Linked DNA regions of Oryctolagus cuniculus. The protein of the gene in region 2 interacts with the protein of the main gene of each other region in a pairwise test. Links are inferred from orthologs where the notes say so. Each region holds a gene or a part of one and is shown on either strand. Other genes may lie near its edges. The genes, in order: PDZD11 and PLEKHA5.

The links.
Region 1: the proteins of PLEKHA5 (region 2) and PDZD11 interact in binary tests that used the Homo sapiens proteins (3 or more experiments, as listed by UniProt). The two-hybrid records come from large-scale screens. The link is inferred for Oryctolagus cuniculus from reciprocal best matches to the Homo sapiens genes PLEKHA5 and PDZD11.

What each region holds. Positions count from the first base shown.
Region 1 is NC_091453.1:50,184,828-50,189,146, reverse strand, and holds the start of PDZD11 (PDZ domain-containing protein 11), read left to right. Parts: upstream 1-1,415; 5' UTR 1,416-1,548; exon of another isoform or gene 1,549-1,569; intron 1,570-2,256; 5' UTR 2,257-2,269; coding exon 2,270-2,356; intron 2,357-2,806; coding exon 2,807-2,890; intron 2,891-3,492; coding exon 3,493-3,549; intron 3,550-3,838; coding exon 3,839-3,937; intron 3,938-4,172; coding exon 4,173-4,233; intron 4,234-4,319. Other genes in the region: chromosome-associated kinesin KIF4A, read right to left, coding at 588-702, 814-933. UniProt on the Homo sapiens protein: Mediates docking of ADAM10 to zonula adherens by interacting with PLEKHA7 which is required for PLEKHA7 to interact with the ADAM10-binding protein TSPAN33.
Region 2 is NC_091440.1:116,939,892-116,943,708, forward strand, and holds part of PLEKHA5 (pleckstrin homology domain-containing family A member 5), read left to right. Parts: exon of another isoform or gene 1-545; coding exon 546-661; intron 662-952; coding exon of another isoform or gene 953-970; intron 971-3,817.

The DNA.
Region 1 (4,319 bases), on a different chromosome or scaffold from region 2:
CTCCATTTGAAAAGAATTCTACTCATCACTCAAAAGCTATCTCCAAGGTTCCTATGCTGTGAGGTTCACCCCAAATCTCCTGAGCAGAGTTGGTGCTGTCCTTTTGTTTGTCATGCTACTCTGAATGAAATCAGGGTTTCTTCTACAGCAGAACTGGGCTCCATTGCATATTTTGAACTTTTAAAATATATTTTCTTAAAGTCAGGAGCGAACAATTTAAAATTGCTTATGTATTCCAAGTTATTTTTGTATTGATGTACCTCCTCTCCCACTCCCCGGACTTTCAATGCCTTCGGGGCCTGGAAGCTGCATTACACATCTCTGAATAAGTAATCCTGGGGCCTGAACTTGCAGCAGGTGGCCACGCTGTGCACCACTGGCACCTGCCAAAGAGCTGTCATCTACTGAGACTCCAGAGCAAACAGAAATGTACACAAGTCAAAGATGAACACAAACACCGAAAGCAAATACGGCATAAAACGAGGCTGTGGGCATTTCATCCACTCCTGTATTTGCAGCACCCGACCACACAATGCCAGGCACACAGCAAATGCCCAAGACACTTTCGACGAATTGAATAGCCTCACCTTTAAAGATGCCTTTTATGAGTGGTGCCACTGCTGTATTGAAGACCTCTTCCTGTTCGGTAGAAGGATCAAACACAAAATCGTAGGTAAAGGATTTATCGGTACCAACCACCACCTAGGAAAGGCAAGGGACAAGGCCTAAGGAAAAAAAGAAAGGCTAGACCACGCCCCTCGTTGCCAGTCGGCCCCAGCTGTTCAGAGATAGGCGGTGGACTCTGTTACGCACCTGAGGCTCCCCGGGCACGAAGGAAAGGCACATCTGGCAGCCCTCGCTAATCTCCTTGGGGACTAGAGGGCGACATCGCAGGGCCACTCGTACGGGAATCCCCTTCACCTCTTCTTTCATGATCCTACCTCGGCACGGTCTCTGCAGGAGGAATTAAGAGGGGGCTTGCTGATGAATTTTGGTAGGTCTGATTGGGGTAGGAGGTCGACTTCTCGGTTCCGGCGGAGGGTGGGGGAGGGTTACGAAACTCAGCCGAAGCGGTGGCAGCCTTCCCTTCCAGCGAGATCGATACCTCCGGAGGTACACACTTCCTTAGGCTTGGCTACGATGGACGGCTGCTCAGCCCGACAGCGTCTGAAATGAAGAAAAAAAAAAAAACTCCAGCGGAGACGTCGACAAAAAGCTATGCCCCAGGCTACCGAAACAGGCAGATTCCGAGCCAAGGTGTGCCCCCGTAACTCACCAAACTAAATGTCCCTTTTCCGGTCTTCCCCGGTCTCCCGTGGCCCTTTCCTAAACGGAGCTTTAACCGCCAAGTTTCAAATCGATTCCTGAGGCGCCAGCCAATGGGAGCGCCCACAGCCTAGGGGCGGAGCAAGCACGTCCGCGCGCGCACCCAGACGCCGAGGTGGGAGGGGAAGGGAAGCTCGTCGCAGCTCGGTACCGCCCCTTTTCGACCCCGGCAAACATCCGCTTCCGGTTCCCAGACTTCAGTGGTGGTGCGCTGGCCCCGAGGTGTGTGAGTCCGGCCCACCGGTAAGGTGGTTCGGCGTTTACGTTGTCGTGACTGCGGGAGTCAGACAGGATGCGAGACGGGAATATATATATATATATGTATATATATATATATATAGAGAGAGAGAGAGAGTGGCTGGTGGTGGAGGAAGGGTTGACCTGGGGAATCCCACCCTTTCTAATCGCACCCAGGAAATGTAGGGCTGTGCTTGGCCCCCAAGACCCTGGAGCAAGATGGAGTCCTCACTCTCTTGGACTTCGAAATTAACGTTTTTGCAAAAATTAAGAAAAAAAAAGGGGGAATTAAGGGAGGAAGGGAAATATGGTTATTTTCTTAGAATTGTACCTATGAAATCCGTTCTCTTTATTAGTAATAAAAAATTTTAATGAAAAAAATTTAGGCGTGACCCCAATTATTTTTTCTGTAAGATGAAGATGTTAACATCAATTTCATGGGATTGTTTTGATAAATTAGGTCATCTCTCTAGAATACCTAGCAGGTTGCTTGACATCCATAGCCTGCTTAGCAAAGTAAGTCATTTTGTTCTGTCTTTTCTTCCTTCTGTCCTCCAGCGTAACACCTAGGTGTGGGCTGGGCCCATACACTGACAGCCTTGCCGTGAGTCAGAGCAGCTTTCTGAAACTTCCTGGGCTGCTGTCCATTTGGAACTTAACTTTTGTCTGCTTTGATCCACCCTTCCACTCTAGGGCCTCGCCCGAGATGGACAGCCGGATTCCTTACGATGACTACCCAGTGGTTTTTCTGCCTGCCTATGAGAATCCCCCAGCGTGGATTCCACCTCATGAGGTGGGAACAGTTTGTATTCCTGAGTAGGGGAATCCTTCCCTCCCTGCCCCAAGCCCAAGGTGATACATGAAAGGTAGAATGGTAGGGTTAGAAATGAAGCTCAGTAGAGAATGAATGTTAGCCCTTAGAGCCAGAGGACCCAGAAGCTGGATTTTGACCAATAGGCCCATTGGGAACTTGTTATGGAAACCTGCTGCCAAGGTCCATTCACACCGGTGAGTCCTAGTTCCCTTTCTGTCAACAGATGAAAAAGTGGGGAGCTACTGGGCTGTTAGTATGTTCCCGTTCTGTCCATCTACTCATTTGGCCAGGTTATCAGTCCAAGTAACAAATTGGCTATGTGTGTACCTTTTCCCGACTTCAGAGTGAGGCGTTAGTATTCCAGAAGAAAGTAGGTGTGAAGTCTAAGACCAGTAGTAAATTTCTGGGGTTGCCGTTACTGTGTTGCAGAGAGTATACCACCCAGACTACAACAATGAGCTGACCCAGTTTCTGCCCCGAGTCGTCACACTGAAGAAGCCTCCTGGAGCTCAGGTGAGCTGATAGGAGCCCCTTTCTTACTCCAAGCAAGATGTATCCATGCCAGAAGGTGGCCATGGTTGGGAAGGATGGATTGGTAAGCTGAAGGAATTCTTTTTTTAAAAAAAAAAAAAAAAGATTTTATTTATTTATTTTTGAGAGGTAGAGTTACAGACTGTAAGAGGGACAGAAAGGTCTTCCTTCCATTGGTTCACCCCCCAAATGGCCGCTATGGCCGGCGCTGTGCGGGTCCGAAGCCAGGAGCCAGGAGCTTCTTCCTGGTCTCCCATGCAGGTGCAGGGGCCCAAGCATTTGGGCCATCTTCTACTGCTTTCCCAGGCCATAGCAGAGAGCTGGATTGGAAGAGGGGCAGCCAGGTCTCGAACTGGTGCCCATGTGGGATGCAGGCGCCACAGGCGGAGGATTAATCTACTGCACCATGGTGCCAGCCCCGAAATTCTCCTTCTTGTGACCAGGGAAGTGGAGCTCCCGCTTCTACAACTTCTGACTTCCCTCTGAGGGACACACAAGCTGAGCCCTTGGCACAATAATGCTACTTAGGAGTTCTTGTGTTTGTGGTCTGTATTGAGTGTCTGTTCTGTGCTCTTGCCTTACAGTTGGGATTTAACATCCGAGGAGGAAAGGCCTCACAGCTAGGCATCTTCATCTCCAAGGTGCGTGTGCCTGATGGGCAGTGGAGATAGCTATTTTCGGTTGTCAATTTAGCGGCTTGCAGATCCCTGAGGCCCCAAGGGCTGACAGAAGGATGCTTTGGTGGACTCCATGGAAGGGGCATAATGAGGACACTCTCTTTCCACTTAAAACTCTCTATTTGGCAAGCCATCTGTCTCTCTACTTGTCAGAGAAGTAGTAGCACCTTACACTTGGATAGCACTGAGCTTCCCTTACAGTCTTCAGAAGTTACCTCCCTCCCCATCACACGTGTTTTCTCTTTACCAACAGGTGATTCCTGACTCTGATGCGCACCGGGCAGGACTTCAGGAAGGCGACCAAGTACTAGCTGTGAATGATGTGGATTTCCAGGATATTGAGCACAGCAAGGTGAGCGCAGCACGCAGGCTGTGGTGATGCAAGAAGTCATCCCAGCTAGGACAGGTTGGGCAGGACTAGCCTAATCTGTAACTTGATAAGCAAGCTTCTCTCTTGGGGAAATGGACCCAAGGGAAGCAGCTATTCATGGCCCAGAAGGGTGGAGTGGGACGTCCCTTTGCCCTGCTATGGTTCTCTCCTGGGTCATTGTCTTCATTTGTGTAAGCTGCTGTTGTGTGTCTTGCAGGCTGTGGAGATACTGAAGACAGCCCGTGAAATCAGCATGCGTGTCCGCTTCTTTCCGTATAGTAAGTGCCACCCTCTTTTGTGTGTGTGTGTTTTTGAGAGAGAGGTAGAAAGACAGAACTCCTGTGCTGGCTCACCCTCCAAATGC
Region 2 (3,817 bases):
CTTCGGCCTTGCACCTTGACAGCCTGAAAGGAAATACCATTTTGGATCATTTATAAATCTCACTTTTGTACATTGCTGTGCATAAGGATTCTGCAGAACACTTTAATAGCAGCACCTTTTGAGGACTGAAGAACTTGCTAACACAAGAGGGAAACGCTGTCACGTGTGCATTTGAATTGATTGTTGCTGGTTGCTCTGGGACATTATTCTTGAATAAAGAAAAGTGAATTGCCATACATGAAAATTGCCAGAGCATATAGATGGCACAGCACCACTGAGTTCTGCTTTTCCTCCTTCTCACATTTTAGAGTATACACAATTAAAAGAAAAGGGATAAAGTTAAGGGAAAAGCATTAAGTGTATCTTTTTCAAGATAAATAATTATATGTTTTCTTACGTCATTCCAATTTCTTACATAAAAGACAAGTCTACTTTCTTAAAAATTTGACAGTAATGATCTATGCAAGGGACCACTTATCTGTTTTTCTTTTTCTTTTACAGAGTCCCGTATTTTTCTTTAAAATGATCGTGTCATTTTCAATCAGGCAGCCCATCCAAACATGCGGACCTATTATTTCTGCACTGATACAGGAAAGGAAATGGAGTTGTGGATGAAGGCCATGTTAGATGCTGCCCTGGTGCAGACAGAACCTGTGAAAAGGTAAAGGCCTGTAGGGAAAATAATACTGATCGCCACTTCCATTGTTTTCCATGCCTAGCAGGCACACCATTGTCGTGGTACATAGCACGTTCATAGTCATGACATGGAATCATTTTGTTCCGCAGAAAGCAAGGATTAATTCATGTTCTGTGTTAATTTAATGCACCTTATTAATTTGAAATATTGCGTACATTTTATTCCACCCTTCTTCTTTACTCATTTTCACTTATCAGCTTACTGAGGTGACTCTAGAATCCTAACATTCAAACTGAATATTCTTTCTTCTTACAGAATTACCTTTAATTTCCGGTGAGTACATTTTAAATTGTTATCTTAAAGCTATGCAGACTTATAGCCTTTAAGACAGTGTTTTTTAAGATCCTGAATCTTAGCATCTACTTTCATAATTCAATTGTTTTTATTTTCATAGAGTTAATTATATTTTTATAGTATGTTGAAGGTTTTTGAAGTTTAGTAAATTATAGTAAGTTTTGATGAATTTTATTTCTTCAGCATTTTCTGGTAGACTTTAATACTTATTAAAGGATTAATATTTGTTTATTCAGAAATAGTTCATCAAGCATTTAGATGATTTTTAATCTGTCCACTTATTGGTGAATTGTGCCTTCTTTGTTCTGAAAACTTAGTATTAAGATTCCTTGATACAGATGTGCACTATGAAAATTTACCTAAGTGTAGTATTTTTCCCTGCTTGATGATACTATCATTTTAATATTCTTCCATTATATTAAAGAAAAAATCAGAGGAAATCTGTTTCTCAAACTGTAAATAAAAATTGAATAATGTACTTCTTAAGAGATTATATTCCTATAATTTAAAGGTAAATTTATAACACAATTAACTTTTATTTCCTGTTAGTGACAATTATGCATGTATTTTACATAAGGAAGATGCCAACATGCAGGTTTGGTCCTTTTCCCCCTCCTCAGAAAATTAGGGGATTGTTAACAGTGTCAATCTTGAGTCTTTTTTTTTTCTTCCTTATTGGCTAAAAGACTTTAAGTTGAAGCTGTATTTCTGCAGTTTTTATAAATATTAAATCTAAATCAAGTTAGCCACTCACTACTAATTAGATACTGGAAAAAGCATAGAAAGAAAAAGAGAACTTAAGTTGGAGCTCTAGGCACTTACTTTTAGGGAAAACCACCTCTACCTACGCGGATTCTAATCTAAGAGCCCATAGAAAGAAAATCTGCTTCTGGAATTCCAGGTGTAAAACTTACCTGAAGGGACATAAAGATGAGGTGGTAAGCATTGAGAAGTAAAGAAAATGTGTAAGTAAAAAGAATTAACTTAGAATCTTAAGTAGTCTTACATTTAATGTAAAATTTGAAGATAATTTTTTAGAATATGGAAGTCAATAACTAAAATATCTGAATTTCCAAGTCATTTCAATAATCTGTTATACTTTTCCCAAAATTTTAACTTATTTCCATTTATTTTTATTGAATTTGCCACTCTAAAAACTCACAGTTAATTCTCATAATTCGGGGTGATACAGATGATGGTTGGCGTTTTTGTTTGCTTGTTTTGTTTGTTTGACTTCTTGCAACCTAGTAGTTGATTTATGTGCCCGTCACCATCTTCAGCCAGTTGTGTTGGTGAAATTGGCTCAGTCACCCAGGAATGATTATGCATCACTGTGTGTCCAGTCTGGAGACAGTCACTGTTACCTCTGCAAATCACATCCTTTCTTCTACTCCCAGTTGCTGACAAGTTTATCCCATCCTTTTAGGTGTGGTCATTCTGTGTGAAGGTATCTAGTATTTCCTATCTAAAGCATAGGGAAATTTTGCTTGTTTAGTTTTAAAATATTAGACTACCTTTGCCTTGTGGCCAGAATACTTACAATTCGTATCAGGACATATCACCTAAGAGATGAAGCATCAAGTTTTTAACTAAATGGTTTCATTTCATCAAAATTTATGTAATATTTCCCCCTGTGAAGTACAATGTCATAGTCCCCTAGTATGTACATCACTGATAGCATAAAAGAATGCTGAGTGTGGTATACATTCCATAGATAACGTTCATTTCCAGGCCTGTTTTTTTCACTTTACATTTCTCAGTGAATTTTCTACACTGATTCAAGTGTCAACTATTTTAAAAATTAGATCACAAGTTTTACATTATTTATGTTGATCAGTATACTTCGAGTCAGCTTTCCTCCACTTAGGGAAAGTCATCACGAATATCTTTTTTGATTATATTTCTTCAATAATAAATCTTTGGGGAAAAAAAGTCAATGCACTTCTACCTTTAAGTGATAGCTTTTGATAGACTAAAGACAAATGAGTTTGAAACATCTTTTCAAATATTTAGTAACCCTCCACCCCAGAATTCAACAAGGAGAAATGTGCTTTTTGTGGATATTTTCTGACTTTTATTCTTCCAGGAAAAGAAACTCCATAACCTACATAGTGAAATTTCTCAATGTCTAATATCCCTTCCAGCCCAGAAACTATGATTTGTTTCTAACCTAAGAATGAATATATGAGCAGTCCAGAATTTTAATCCAAGAACAGTTTTCACATTTGTTTTCACTTTTTACTCAATGACTGTATGTCTGTAGATACAAATAGATAGATATAGATGCTTTCAATTATGGTTGAAGATAGATATATTTGTATGAGTCTATGTATTTCCCACACATCACAAAAATGGGCAGCAGTCCCATGGGTAGGATCGGGTAGGAGGAGTGTTGTTAGCTATTGAGACGTGGAAGGCTGGCCAGTTCCTCTGAGGCCTCCCAGAGTGACTTGATCTTGGCAGTTTGATACACTTGCAGATGCTCAGCTTGACCTTGTCAGAGACCACAAATGACTGGGCCAGAAATGCTTAATGGGATGGAATAACAGTGGTAATAAGGTTTGTACCAGCCACTGATTTACTCAGTCGGTTCTCACAGCAACCCTTAGACCTTGGTGCTATGTTACACCCATTTACCAAACAGGACATTGAGGCCTGATAAGTTTTTGAACTTTGCCCAAAGATGCAGCCAGTAAAAGGTGGCATTTTGAGCACAACCTAGGCAGTCTGGCTTCCCGAGCTCTCACACCACGCTCAGGTCGTCTTGAGTGCAGACAGAGAAAGTCACAGGGCACAGACCTTTGATAGCATCAACTCTATTTCCTG